3 linked regions of the Arabidopsis thaliana genome follow. The protein of the gene in region 2 purifies or fractionates together with the protein of the main gene of each other region. This does not show direct contact. Each region holds a gene or a part of one and is shown on either strand. Other genes may lie near its edges.

The links.
Region 1: the proteins of EXL4 (region 2) and AT2G34810 fractionate together in Arabidopsis thaliana (co-fractionation; one large-scale study listed by BioGRID). This does not show direct contact.
Region 3: the proteins of EXL4 (region 2) and AT5G19110 fractionate together in Arabidopsis thaliana (co-fractionation; one large-scale study listed by BioGRID). This does not show direct contact.

What each region holds. Positions count from the first base shown.
Region 1 is NC_003071.7:14,682,858-14,688,223, forward strand, and holds AT2G34810 (FAD-binding Berberine family protein), read left to right. Parts: upstream 1-2,312; 5' UTR 2,313-2,434; coding exon 2,435-4,057; 3' UTR 4,058-4,359; downstream 4,360-5,366.
Region 2 is NC_003076.8:2,935,971-2,940,598, forward strand, and holds EXL4 (EXORDIUM like 4), read left to right. Parts: upstream 1-2,222; 5' UTR 2,223-2,426; coding exon 2,427-3,263; 3' UTR 3,264-3,745; downstream 3,746-4,628. UniProt on the Arabidopsis thaliana protein: May play a role in a brassinosteroid-dependent regulation of growth and development.
Region 3 is NC_003076.8:6,410,658-6,415,951, forward strand, and holds AT5G19110 (Eukaryotic aspartyl protease family protein), read right to left. Parts: upstream 2,655-5,294; 5' UTR 2,622-2,654; coding exon 1,659-2,621; intron 1,426-1,658; coding exon 1,063-1,425; 3' UTR 786-1,062; downstream 1-785. Other genes in the region: AT5G19120 (Eukaryotic aspartyl protease family protein), read left to right, coding at 3,928-5,088.

The sequences.
Region 1 (5,366 bases), on a different chromosome or scaffold from region 2:
GCCAATTTTTTATTTTTTGGCGGTAAATAGATTTACAAGAGATTTTATAAGATTTACAAGGGATTTTAAAAGGTTTTTAAAAGATTTATAAGGGATTTTAAAAGGGTTTTAAAAGATTTACAAGAGATTTTAAAAGGATTTAAAAGATTTGCAAAGGTCTTTTAAAGATTTTTAAAGGGTTTAAAATTGTTTTAAAAGAATTTTAAAATATTTACAAGAGATTTTAAAAGGGTTTTACAATATTTATAAGGAATTTTAAAGGATTTTAAAAGATTTACAAAGAATTTGTAAAGATTTTTAAAGGGTTTAAAAGTGTTTTGAAAGATTTACAAGGGATTTTAAAACCCTTTTAAAATCTCTTGTAAATTTTTTAAAATCCTTTTAAAATCTCTTGTAAATCTTTTAAAACTCTTTTAAAATCTCTTATAAATCTTTTAAAACCCTTGTAAATCTATTTGCCGCCAAAAAATATTTACAAAGATTTTTAAAATCATTTTTTTAGCTGAGGAAAATTGTTACGAAAAAGTTTTTGGCAGGAATTGTTTTTTTTGGCGGGAAAAAAGTTTGGCGGAAATTTTTTTTTTGGCGGAAAATAAAAATTTTGGCGCCAAAAAATTGGCGGGAAAAGTTCAGTTTCCAATTACATGTTTCTATTAGATGAGGGTAATTTGGTCATTTTGTTCAAGGGAAAGGGTACTTTTAAAAATGGAAAACATAAAAGGGTATTGTTGCAAAAAAATAGTAAAAAATGGGTAGTTTTGCAAATCTCCAATCATATATATACTAAGCTTCAAACTAGTTTAGTTTTGATTTGTTTTCCGATCCTAAACTTGAATTAAGCTCATGATGTTGGGAGCCTATATAAATTATTAGAACGTGATATTCATGCATGGTGTATTCAAAGAATTACACATATATAAGAGAGACTAGGATAAAACTAATTACGTTTAGATAATACTAAATACTGAGGTATGTCAAGGATGCTCTAACATATTTGTTAGGTGGATCCAAATCCACTATGGTCGAAGCGGTGGGTAACCGACGCCAAATATTATATACTGTGCAGTTGTACAAAATGGATGAACGCTATATTCAGACAAATAAGTACTATAACAAAACAAGAAAGAACTCTTTAAGTACTTCAATTTTGAGCAAAGGAAAATTTCGAGAATAATGGTTTGTAGTAGCCCGGAGGGGAAACATTACCATTTTGGTCTAAACACTTCACAATAAACTTGAAAACAAAATAGCTAGACTAGCTAGAGATATATATGTTTAGTTTCATAATATGCATGTGACCTCATAATTAAACCTTATTTTGAAACTATAACTTATAAACAGATGAACTGGTCTTTCGATCTTTAACAAAAATAAAAATGAACTGGTCTTTCTTTTAACAAATTTCTGAATCTTGTGGGAACTCTATTGGATAATTGGATTCGTAAGCACAAATTGATCCACGACCACTACATTATACATATGCAGATATGTTAATGCTATAAGACCATCTCTTTTATTGTATGACTTTTGGAGATAACAGAAAAGGGAATCTTTTACAGATAAGAGTTTAGAGTAAAGAGAAAAGAAGCCTATTTGGTTGATTTTGATTCACTGATTAAAACAACACTTGTCTTTTTTATCTTTGCCTTCACGAGAATCATAACTACACTCACCGTCCTCGCCGATCAAAAGTCCTCGTGTGATAAGAAATTCATGTGGACAATTTTATTGCAGGTACGTATTTTTCATCAACTTATCCATAACGACACGTGTTGACCTTCTTACGTAGCTCTTCTGTATTTGATCGCCTTGGATTTGCTCTAAGACCTAATTTAATCACGCCACATGCAACAATTAACTACCAAGGGTCCCAAAAAAAGAAAGAAACACATACTACTCTATTTAATTTGATAATAAACAAATAAAGTCCGTTTAGTAGATTATGTTTTACATATAAAAACAATTAAAGTCCGTTTTGTTAATTATGTTTTACCTATAAAAAAAAAATTCACCAAAAAACATTAATCAAATCATATCCTAGTTGATCATTGGTGAGGTGACTGACAGGTCGTGGAATTCTGGCATCCTATCGTCGACAAATCTTAAACTAAAGTAACTCTTACTGTTACTTTTTAAATATGTCAAAGTAACCAATATCTTCTACGGAACTTATATCCAATTTGCATACTTTTACTCATACTATACAAAATACAAGCGGATATAAACAACAAAATAAGAAAACTACACTAATATCTATAGAAACTTCAAATTGAATTGAATATTATCGTGATATATATATATATATATATATCGCCGAATATTCCCTGGAAAATTAAATACAAAGACTATACTACTCTATTGGCTATAAATACACACACAAACCCAACAAAGCTATTTCATTATTCAAAAACCAATCACAAATAACAAAACGAAAATGAAGTTTTGGTCACGACCATTAACGTTTCTTATAATTATTATCTATCTCATAATTCAACAAGTCAACTCATCACCACCGTCATTATCTATACCGGAGCATTTTCTCCGATGCCTCGACACTCAACCATCCGACCACGGCAGTCCCAACTCAAGAACCGCCGTGATCCCAACAAACTCATCTTTCTCAACAAACCTAATGAACGGCGTCAGAAACCTCCGGTTCGCTTCTGTCTCCACAAGAAAACCAGAAGTTATCGTCGCCGCCGTCACCGAAACTCACATAAGAGCAACAATCTCTTGCTGCAAACTCCTAAACCTCGAGCTAAGAATCCGAAGCGGAGGCCACGACTACGAAGGCTTCTCCTACACTTCTCCGGTACCTTTCGTAATCTTAGACATGTACAACTTCAACAAAATCGATATCAACATGAAAGACGAAACCGTTTGGATCCAATCCGGAGCTTCACTAGGTCAGCTTTACTATAACATTGCAAGTAAAAGCAAAGTCCACGCTTTTCCCGCCGGAGTTTGTCCTAAAGTCGGCGCCGGAGGACATTTCAGCGGCGGAGGATTCGGTAACCTCATGAGAAAATACGGTTTATCCATTGATCATATAATCGACGCTCAAATCATGGACGCCAACGGTAAAGTGTACCGTAACCGTCAAGCTATGGGAGAAGACGTGTTTTGGGCTATTCGCGGCGGAGGCGGCGGAAGCTACGGAGTCATTCTTGCCTGGAAGATAAAACTCGTTAGGGTTCCGGAGAAAGTCACAGTTTTTAAACTAGAAAGAACGGTGAGAGAAGGAGCCGTTGATTTAGTTCATAAATGGCAACAAGTAGCTCCGGTTATCGACAGAGATTTGTTTATCCGGTTAGAGATTAAACCAATAAACCGGAAAATCTCAAAAGGTAAGACGATTAAAGTCTCCTTCATCGGAATGTTTCTTGGTTTACCTGAGAGACTTTTAAACATAACGAAACAGAGTTTCCCTGAGCTACATTTAACGAAAGAAGATTGTATGGTCAAGAAATGGATCGAATCTAGTGTTTTCTGGGCGAATTATCCAGAAAAAGCACCGATAGAGTTACTTCTCAAAAGAGTATCAACCAACGAATACTACTGGAAACGTACTTCAGATTTTGTTCAAGCACCAATCTCAAAACAGGGTCTTGCAAAGATTTTTCAAACAATGATTGATCATTCGCCACTTCCACGACGAGTTTGGATGCAATGGAATCCATGGGGAGGGAAAATGGCTGAGATAGCGTCTGATGCGACGGCGTTTGTGCATAGAGGTGGTAATGTTTTCATGATTGAGCATTTCATGAATTGGTATAGACCTGGAGATGAGCTTGAAGAGAAGTTCTTGGCGATTGCAAGAAGTTTTAAAGAAGCTATGGCTCCGTTTGTTTCCAAGAATCCGAGAGAAGCTTTCTTTAATTATAGAGATGTCGATATCGGAATTACTACGCCGGGGTATAATGCGACGTATGAAGGAGCTAAGGTTTATGGGGATAGTTATTTCAAAGGGAATTATTTGAGATTGGTTAAGATTAAAGCCCGGTTCGACCGGACTAATTTTTTCCGGTCTCAGCAAGGGATTCCGGTTCTTGCTTAGTTTGGTGATTGGTGAGTGTTTGAATTGATTGTATTGTTGTGTGGGAAGGAGTATACTATTAAGTTATTAAAAGTTGAAATTTGGGATCATATCCAATGAATCTATTGGGTATATATGTTCCTTAGTTGTTCTGGCATGGGCAGTTGATAATTTTGTGTTAAATAATGGTTTACTTCAATCTCCAAGAGAAGTTATGTGCTAAAATTTTTAATAATAAATGGATCGGAGTTGTATATCTCTAAGAGAATTCATTGATTATAATCAACAATATATGATTAGTTTTAGTTATAGCATAAATGAACAATATATGGTCTTTAATTTGCAAAGAATACTGATTGCAAAATCTTAAATAAATTTCATAATAAAAAATCAACCAGATTTTACGCGTCTTTTTAAACAAATATCATGTACTAATTTATCCGATGACAAACTATATTATATGATATCACTATATGTTTCTAAATCATAACCTAATATTATTTTATTTACAATTGGGGTCAAGTTTACCGCTAATTTAGTTATCTAGCAAAGAAGCCTAATAATTTTTGCATGAATCTATGCAACTTTTGTTTTTTTTTGTCAAAAACATAGTATGTCAGTATGACCGATGAGCGATGAACAAAATCATTGGGTCCATTGCAAAAAGTGTGTTTTTCAGAAATCTTGGCGCAGAGTCACAGATGAACACGTGATAGGATTTATATATTAAATGCTTGAACAGGACATGGTCGAGTTGCTTCCAATAATTGTAATGAGGTCACAGTTTTAACTATATGATATAGACTTTTCGACTGGTCGATCGGTCCAAACTGGTCCGACATTTTGGGATAGGGTTAGTTATAATTGTTAGTTCAATATTTTACACGTGGGCAAAATTCCGAGACTTTCTCACCACAATTTGAAAAAATCTCGATTCCAATCAATCAAATGACCAATATCACCAGTCAAATGTTTAAAAGAGAAAACACTAGCTTGAAGCCAAAATGTATATATATCATCTAAGTTACAAGTGGGTACGTACTTGTATTTGTTCTTGTCCACCCTAGAACAAATATGTTGTATACTACTATACTAGCTGATGGTGTTGTAGGGGAGACAATTGACTGTTAAGTAAACTTTTAAATAGTGTTACAAATTATTTCAGATCATGATGGAAAAAATAGATTTAATAATATAATTAAAAAGAGAGAAAAGATTTATGTTTAACACCTTGTACTAACGAGTACTTCAACCCAAATTTCATTTAGAAGAATATATAAATCATGAAAATATCACATGTATTTGTTATTTTGGAATATTTTTATATGAA
Region 2 (4,628 bases):
AAAAACACATTAATTGTTATGACGATGAAATTTTAGCTTTCTTATAAGCCGATCATATCAATTGTATTAGTGTATGGTTATAATATCACTCAATTGGTTGGGGATATAATCTTAATTACAATGACCAAAACATTTAGCATAGTAAATTGTGTTAGTGACTATATGTCATTAGTCCATGCTATATATTAAAAGGCCATGCTTCAAGAAAATATAATGATAATATTTTATTATATTAAATAAAACTAAAGAGAATCGATAATATGAAAGAAGACGGCCGGAATTAGTTTAACCAAAAACGTGATTATGATAGGAAAATATCAACCAAATTTATCAAACTGAAATGATAGTATGATTGTCATCTGACATTATTTGTATCAGAAGTAACATTTGTCATCTAATATTTTCATAAAATATATCTAATTATAAATGTCCCAATTATAAATTCAGATCTTGTATTAAAATTTTGTTTCTTTAATATATATATACTGACAAGATTCTGTAGTTACAATTATGTAAAATAAAAAAAAATAAAAAAATTATGTAAAATAAATTCAAAAACTTTTTTTTTGGTAACTGCAGTTGTTTGTTTCTCTTAATAATATATGTTTTTGTTTTCTTACGTTGGGTACGGATAATTTGTATTTTTGTAAAAATGTGGCTTCTGTGATAGATATTTTAGTAGATTTTTGTTTTTTCGACTGAAATTCACGTGTTAAATACAAAGGTAAAAGGTAAGCTTACAGTTCTGCCTAGTTCTGAGTTCTGGCAAGGTGACGTAAAATAGGCGTATATATATATTTCAAGTTTTAAAAAAAGTACTTACATGTGGTGGGTCTACGAGACTCATCTTCCTCGTATGTCGTGCCTTGACGTAGGTAAATCCAACGGCTCTACTTTTATTTACCTGAGATTTGAACTTTTAAAGTTCTACTACCAAGTCTACAACTATTTGATGAGACCACAACCAATATTGTGATGTGAACCTATGAATACGTAAAATTAAGTATAGTGAGTTGTAGACCATGAATTAAGTGGGTTTGAAAATTGAGACCGCATCATTCGATATCCATGAATATAGAACATTTCACAACGTTCTAGAATTTAGAAAAATAAAATATACTTTGAAGATATTAAAGAAAAAAAAAAGACGAATAAAAGATAAAGTGTTATAGAATTTAAAAAGGGAAAGGCAAAGAAACAGAAGAAGAGAGGACCACGCAGATGTAAGGCAATAATTGACATAGGAAAGGGCGTGGTTCGTACGCCTTACCCTAGCTATACTAACCACTGCTCAAAATACTTTGTAAGTTGTAGATCTCTATATACTTACATACTGATACTGTATACATAGTTCCATAGTATTATTGAATATTGATTACTGAAATACGTAAGGATTTGATCCCTACTACAGTAACCAAGTGCTTTATATCTCCATTATGGGTTCCCTCAAAACAATAGATTTTGAATAGCTCTGGGAAGCAGCATTTAAATAATATGGTTTATTACGATATTAGTGTGGTTAGTGTATGTCGGTTTAGATGTCTAGTTGCAGCTAATCGTATACTCGAATGATAAACTAAAATATCTAATGTTTAATTGCAATATATATAGCCAAGACATGTAGCTTAGCTTAGCTATAGCTAGTAGCTTTTTCTTAGTGCATGTCATTTTTATTTTAATAAATCCAAATTCTGATTTCATTCTCTCAATGATATGCAAATAAGGGAAATATTAAAAACTATATATACGTAAATTTTGTTTTAGGAGCCAATTTTTTTTATACACCAATAAAACCATCTGAGCCAATCGTATTATCAATGTATCTTGGTCTTACCTTCAGCAATTTTTGTATGGGCTGAGTCGGTCATCTTAAACGCCCATGTTTTTGTCAATGATGATTACATGTAACCGTAACTTGGTGTTTTAATTAAAAACGTTTAGAATGCGCATAGTCCTTAAACATTTCATAGCCACATTGTTTTTATTCAATTTTTTAAATTAATTTTATTTAGCAGGATAAGATAACCCTTGAATTTATTGAATTGCATCTTTCAATAACTTCAGACGTAAACTGTTCAACGTAAATAGTATAAACTTTTATCCGGACATGCACGGAAGTGTTTATCCCTGTCGCATAATATCTACATTTCGAAAATTTTAAAAACCAAAAAATAGTACTACTTGATAATACACGTTTATGGAAACTACCACGTCACCCTAAGAAGAACCTTACTACAGGCTGTCCAAAAACTTGCCTAACCAATTAAATATATCCACGTGGCATACGTTGACATGTACGCTCTTTGCATTTTACAGCTCTTGCCCGTTCAAAAAACCTCGGTATATAAATAAGCTCTCAATGGTTTCACAAAACTCATATTCAAAAACAGAACACAACCTCTCTTCTCACTCTATATACTCCCAAAATGGCTTATAACTACCGTTTTGCCATTCTTCTCGTTCTCCTCTCCGCCACCGTCGGCTTTACCGCAGCCGCGTTGAAGCCTCCGGTTCGAACCTTGAACGGAAACATTACTCTTAATCTCATTTGGTACGGAAAATTCACCCCAATCCAACGGTCCATAATCGTCGATTTCATCCGCTCTATCAGTTCTGTCACCGCCGCCAAAGGTCCATCCGTCGCGTCGTGGTGGAAGACGACGGAGAAGTACAAAACCGGCGTTTCAACTCTTGTTGTCGGTAAACAGCTCCTCCTTGAGAATTACCCTCTCGGAAAATCCCTAAAGAGCCCTTACCTTCGTGCTCTGTCAAGCAAACTTAACGCTGGTGGTGCTCGGTCAATAACCGTCGTCTTAACGGCGAAAGACGTCACCGTTGAGGGACTCTGTATGAACCGATGCGGGACTCACGGGTCAAAGTCAAGTTCCGTTAACAGTGGAGCTTACGTGTGGGTCGGAAACTCTGAAACGCAGTGTCCTGGTTACTGCGCGTGGCCGTTTCATCAGCCTATCTACGGACCTCAGTCTCCGCCGTTAGTCGCACCTAACGGCGACGTCGGAGTTGACGGAATGATTATAAACATCGCGACTCTTCTTGTTAACACCGTAACGAATCCGTCTCCAGAAGCTGTCTCGGCTTGTACCGGGATATTCGGTTCGGGTGCTTACCCGGGTTACGCGGGTCGGGTTCTCGTAGACAAGACGAGTGGAGCGAGTTACAACGCTTTGGGTCTCGCCGGTAGAAAATATCTATTGCCGGCGTTGTGGGATCCTCAGACTTCGACGTGTAAAACTATGGTTTGAATTTTAGATGGTCTGTGAACGAGACACGTGGCTAGAATTGATGGTGATTAAAAGCTTGTTGTAGTCAAAGAAAGTTTGTAGATATCTATCGCGTCTGGTTCGGAGTTTGGGGAAAGGGATGTGTTTGTTTTGTTATTTTGTTATGCCCTGTGTAAATTCGATCTTTGGAAATATGTGAAAGATAGATTCATATATCTATTTTAATAATAACGATTTGTAGTTTCCACCTATAATCTTATAACGTTAGTATATACTGTATATAGTATGATTAGTATCAAGACCTTGTTTTAACTTTTAACCAGAGGAATCAAACTTTATAGATAAACGAAAAATGGATTAAGATATTAATTATGTTGTGTTGATACCAATGATACGGTAAAAAGAACAAACAAAAAGAGAGAATGAATAATCTAAAGGAAGGTGGAGAATAAAGGCGATGTTGGGACTTGGGGGATAAGAGAAAAGAGAACATATAGAATCACTTTTTCACTTTTAATAAAAGCTATAGCTTATAGGTTTTGGCGTATTGCTTACTAAACAATAGTATAGTATTTATTGTGGGACTGGAAAAAATGATTTTATTTTTATCATCCAGTTTTTCCTACCAATCTCACCTTTTTAGTAACTTGAATTGAATTGTCCCATAAATTCTTAAATATGAGCAGTGGGTTGGTTGGTGTTGAGTGCTTCGAGCAGGCCTGTCGAATCAATGGACTCTACTGACGATAGTGAAAGCAGTAAGCTTTCAATGAAGTCGCTCCAATAACAACTTGTTAAAGGTTTTATTGGAGGTTACACAATTTACACCTACAATTATTTTTATTCGTTCAATAAGAGCCACATTCTTTAAGAGTTGGTAACACTGAACCCCATAAAAATCATCTTGGACTCCAATTTTCACATCCAAACATTTCCTAATCAAGTCATATATCCAATGTTTTATGTCAAATCTATTTCACTCCCCCTTCACTTCAAAACATCTTCCAATTCTTGTCCTCACATCAGATCCCTGAACTCAAATGATAAAGAGTGTTTTTTTTTTTCCTTTTTCCCCTAATATCTTTTACTTTTCAATGCTAGACACTAGCCCTGGGACTAAAATCCGCTAACCGCGAATATCCGGATCCGGATCCGTGATCCGCTCCGAAAAATCGGATATCCGGACTAAACGGATCTGAATACGGATAACAAATTTATGGATCAGACGGACCCGGATCCGGAGCCGGATAACAAAAAAAATTACATCCGGATATCCGGATCCGTCAAAATATCTACATATTACTAGTCCTGAGACTAAAATCCGCTAGTAATATGATATTACACCAATTAAGCTTATACATTGATATCATGGGCTTAATACATACT
Region 3 (5,294 bases), 3.5 Mb from region 2:
TTAGTTTCATTTGAAATAGTTCAATTCTACAATTAATCTACTATGTAAAAATATTGCAAGTGTTTGTCGCCTTACAATGAAAAGAGGAGGAGATTGGGGACCAAAGAGTGAAGTCGATCTCAAAAAGTAGAATCCATTCAAGAATCGTAACATATCATTCTGACATTTCCTCCGCATGGTTCAAGGGAATGGAGACGACTTCTAAACCGTTTCTTTGAGTCTTTCTTTTTCTCGCATCTAGATCCCTCATGATCCAAATTGGTTCTCAAAGAGTTCTTACCACATTCCATGAGACACCCTTGTAGCTCTTTCACCAGATAGCATATTGGATCTTAAATAATTTCAACTAATTAGTATCAAAACTACTATCTCCATTAATTTCTGTCGGAAATCATCGGAGAAATTAAGGGCATACAAGTCCATATTTTTCCTTCTTTGAGACTATCATGAACGTGTTGTTGTGACAAGTATATGTCTTCTTCTTTATTTACTTTAAAAATTCCTAAAAAGGTGAATTTGCATCAATCACTTAAATTCGTAATTTTATTACCATTATTTTCTGAAATAATTTAACCTTTCTATCATTTGAACAATTGATGCTAGTTTTTATTTTGTATCTTTTTTCAATGATGCAAATTAAGATAGATTAGTATCAATTTAATTTAGTTGATGTCAAATAATTAGTTATGGCATTACTTATTGTAATTGACGTTAAATCAAATTTTGTATCTGTTATAAATAAGTAACTCAAATTAACATCATTTATTTTTGATATAATTTATTTTATGCAATACATTTTTTGTAGTAACTTTTGAATTTCAAATCTAAATTGCAATTTCTAATAAGAAATACAGAATACTTTAGATAATTATTAATGTGCAAAATCCTCAGACAATATTTTTTATCAAAACAAGCGAATATCAAATTTGAATAAAATAACATAGACGATATTTATGAGAAACGGGTGATAATTTCTTAAAATTTCGATTAGAACACATGTGTCGCTGAAAACGTGTCATACAAGACCAAAAACTGTGATACTATCATGAGTGACTGATGATTCTATTTTTGGGAAGGCCAAGTGGAGCAGCTTGTGTTATGGAGCAAGAGTGACTCACTAAAAGCGAGAACCGTCCCGCTGAAATCGAACTCGAGCATATGATCTTGAAGCTGATGTGTCCCAATCACCATCAAATCCTTCGGTGTCTTTCCACCGTCGATAAACGCCAAACACATCACCGTTTCCTTCACTTTCACCACCGTATTCGCACCGTAGAACCCCCACTTTACCTCCCCTATCCTCCCCGGCAGACCAATCTCTATCACGGGCACGTTAGGCCCCGCCGTCAAATTCTTTCCAGCGGTGCGTGAATCAAAACAATGTTTAAACGGCGCCACCGATGGAACCTTAGCTATTCCCATAGCCTGTATATATAGTTCACACCAAAACAAACAAGACAGAAAAGAGGTTATATCAGCTTATCTATATACAACAAAAAAATAACATTAGCAACGTTATAATTTAAAGGAACACATTTCTAATAATCGTTTAATAAGATATTTTATTTTAAAAATCTCAAATCATGGTTCACTCCACAGGAACTCCAATAAAGAGATAAGAAATTTTATACATGAATAATATATTTTGTTTTGAATACCTTAGCCTTGAGTGTAAAAGACTGAGCAAGAGCATTGTAGATATCGGTTTGAAGTACGGTGTAGTGAACCACCGTACTGAGTTTGGCTCCGCCGGTTAGCAAATCAGGGTTCAACTTCAAAGCAGTTCCACCAACGTAGATAGATTTTACAGTGATTAGATAATCTCCTGAGTCAGTGCCTTTAATGGGAGTTAAAGTCCTTGGAATCGGATTATCGCTACTATTGAATGGTGGGATAAAGTAGTGAATGCCGGCGATATAGAAATGACCGGTACCGGAAGAAGGCAAGCAGAGAGAGAATTTAGGGATGACGTTAAACGCTGACGTCACTTGTTTCGTGAACGACGAAGATCCGGGAGAAAGAGCCAGAACTCCGTCGACTGGAGGAGGAAGGCCTTGGAGGGCTTTCTCACCGGCGCATGAGAATGTGAAGTGGCGGACGGAGACTTGAGAGAGGAACTTGCCGCCGTCTGTGGTGTAGAGGGAAGCTCTGTCTTGGACGACACGGCCGGTTACAACGGGGTTTTGTCCGAGTGGGTTTGGTTGCTTGTAAAGACAAGATTTGCCAGCGCATCCATTACCGGGGATAGACTTGCATGTGGAGCTCTGGCAAGTGACTAGGCGGAGAGATGATAAAGATTTAAGTTTGCGGCAGTCGAGCCACGTGAGGTTTGTTCCGAGGTCGAGGAGGAGGTTTACAGGAGATTTTGCGGCGGATCCGACGTTGAAAGTGGTGTAGAATAGATTGGTGGGTTCGTGCTTGGTGATCGGAAGAAGGTATTGAGAGTTTGATTTCAGAGCTATGGCTGCGAAAATGGAAAGGAAGACTAGTAGGCGCGTGAGGCTACTACCCATCTCTATTATATTCAGGTTATAATTTTTTTTGGTAAATGAAATGATGAATGTGATTGTTTGTGATGGAGATGGACTACGATGTATGTTATTTATAGATGTAAAATACATTTTGGATCTAAGAATTAAAATGGTGATTAGTACATTTTTTAACACAAAAGTGATGGTATTCTTGAATGTTTGAGATTCGCGTTGAGATTTGTTTTCCTAAAAGTTGAATTACGCGGAATCTTAAAAAATGAGAGTATTTTTGCATGTGTTACACATGACAACAATTAATTATATGAAAAAATGAAGATTAGTCGGTGCATCTGAAGTCGTATAATGTTATGCAAAATGAGGTCTGATCAAGTATACTCGCGTGGTGGGTATATGTCACAATTCATATTCTTTTCTTTTCAAATAGTTTTCGAGTTCTTCTTTATGCATGATCTTAATCCTTAATATAGCAGCAATACATACTAGAAAGTCTTGAAAGATCTTATAATTTAAATCAAATCATTTGTATTTTCAATTTTATAGGAATAGAAACGATTTTCGCTAAAATAATCCATTAACGACTCTATTTTTTCATCGACAAGGACTTAATTTACAATTTTACATAACGAATCCAAACATATTGGGCCATATTGCCAGGCCCACGTATAAATGAGCTCAATATTAATCTTCATAACACCACATTGCTTATATTGCAACAATTAATTTTTATTTGAAAACAATGGAGAAAGATGGGTCGGTGTATCTTAGTATGCTAGTTTAAGTATCATTTAACATTAATTGGTACGTAATGTATGCAAAATGAGTGTTGAATTCTTTTATACCTGATCATAAAAAGTCTTGCAGGATCGTAAAGTTCATATGCTGTATGAAGAAAAATGATTTTTCATTCAAATAAACCATTAACGGCTCTCGTTATTTCGTTATTAAAGACCGTTGATTTGTTTTATATATAACGCCATGCAAACCATTGGGCCATATAAGTTTCTGAAGACGCCCATATATAAACGAGCCCAATCTTAATTTCATAATACATGTTAACATCACAAAATTTACAAGTACCAAGCCAACTACTCCAACTGGCATAGGGTATAAACTTTATGGATATTCCTATAAAACATCCTTTCACACGTGCCAAAAATCATCAAATCGTCTCCTTTTTCTTTTGAGCTTTTAATAAAATGGATAAACATTGACCAAAACAAAATAAAAAGAAAAGAAAAAGTCCCCACCAAAGAGCGAAACGACACAACAAGTCTACTCAGCACTTACCTTAAAATGAACCAATCCTTATCGTTTCAGTTTTTTCACATTCACAATAAACCAGCGTCGGCCCACCGCATCCCAAACCATAACGCTTAATCCTTAAAAACCGTCCAGATCCATTTCCTTCCTCTAAAACTCATCACACACACTTCTAATGGCTTCTTCTTCTTGTTTGAATCTCTTCTTCTTCTCTTTTCTCTCCGCTCTAATCATTTCTAAATCTCAGATCTCTGATTCCGTTAACGGGGTCGTTTTCCCTGTTGTTAAAGACCTTCCAACCGGTCAATACCTCGCACAGATTCGACTCGGTGACTCACCGGATCCAGTCAAGCTCGTAGTCGATCTGGCCGGCTCAATTCTCTGGTTTGATTGTTCCTCAAGACATGTTTCCTCGTCAAGGAACCTAATATCCGGTAGCTCTAGCGGCTGCTTAAAGGCAAAAGTTGGAAATGAACGAGTATCATCATCATCATCATCGCGTAAAGACCAAAACGCCGATTGCGAATTACTTGTTAAAAACGACGCCTTTGGGATTACGGCGAGAGGAGAGCTTTTCAGTGACGTCATGTCGGTTGGCTCTGTTACTTCTCCGGGAACCGTTGATCTACTTTTCGCTTGTACTCCACCGTGGCTGTTACGTGGGCTCGCTAGTGGAGCCCAAGGAGTAATGGGCTTAGGAAGGGCCCAAATCTCACTCCCTTCACAACTCGCCGCGGAAACTAACGAACGTCGTCGGTTAACTGTTTACCTGTCGCCGTTGAACGGTGTCGTATCAACGAGTTCGGTGGAGGAGGTTTTTGGAGTGGCTGCGTCTAGATCGCTGGTTTACACGCCTTTGTTAACCGGTTCGAGTGGCAACTACGTAATTAACGTGAAATCGATTAGAGTCAACGGGGAAAAGCTCTCCGTGGAAGGTCCGTTGGCGGTGGAGCTGAGCACGGTGGTTCCTTACACGATTTTAGAGAGCTCGATCTACAAGGTGTTCGCGGAAGCTTACGCCAAAGCTGCGGGTGAAGCTACATCGGTGCCTCCTGTCGCACCGTTTGGGCTCTGCTTCACTAGTGACGTAGATTTTCCGGCGGTAGATCTAGCGTTGCAGAGTGAGATGGTGCGGTGGAGGATTCATGGGAAGAATCTGATGGTGGATGTTGGTGGTGGAGTCCGATGCTCGGGGATTGTTGACGGCGGGTCAAGTCGAGTCAACCCGATTGTAATGGGTGGGCTACAATTAGAAGGCTTTATATTGGACTTTGATTTGGGTAACTCAATGATGGGCTTTGGACAAAGAACACGCTCTGATTCAACTTCGTTGTAATACAGAAACCTTTGTAATTGTAACCTTCTAATTATCTGGTAGATATCCTCAATTTTGATCTCTTTTGAGTGTACTCTTTTCTTACAATACCTGCTACAAGCAATCATGCATTTGTACAACTAATAGATCTAATTTAAGAAACAGCTATTACTTAAATGAAGTAAAAATACAGTGCTTAAAACTAAAAATCAATACAAAAAACAGAA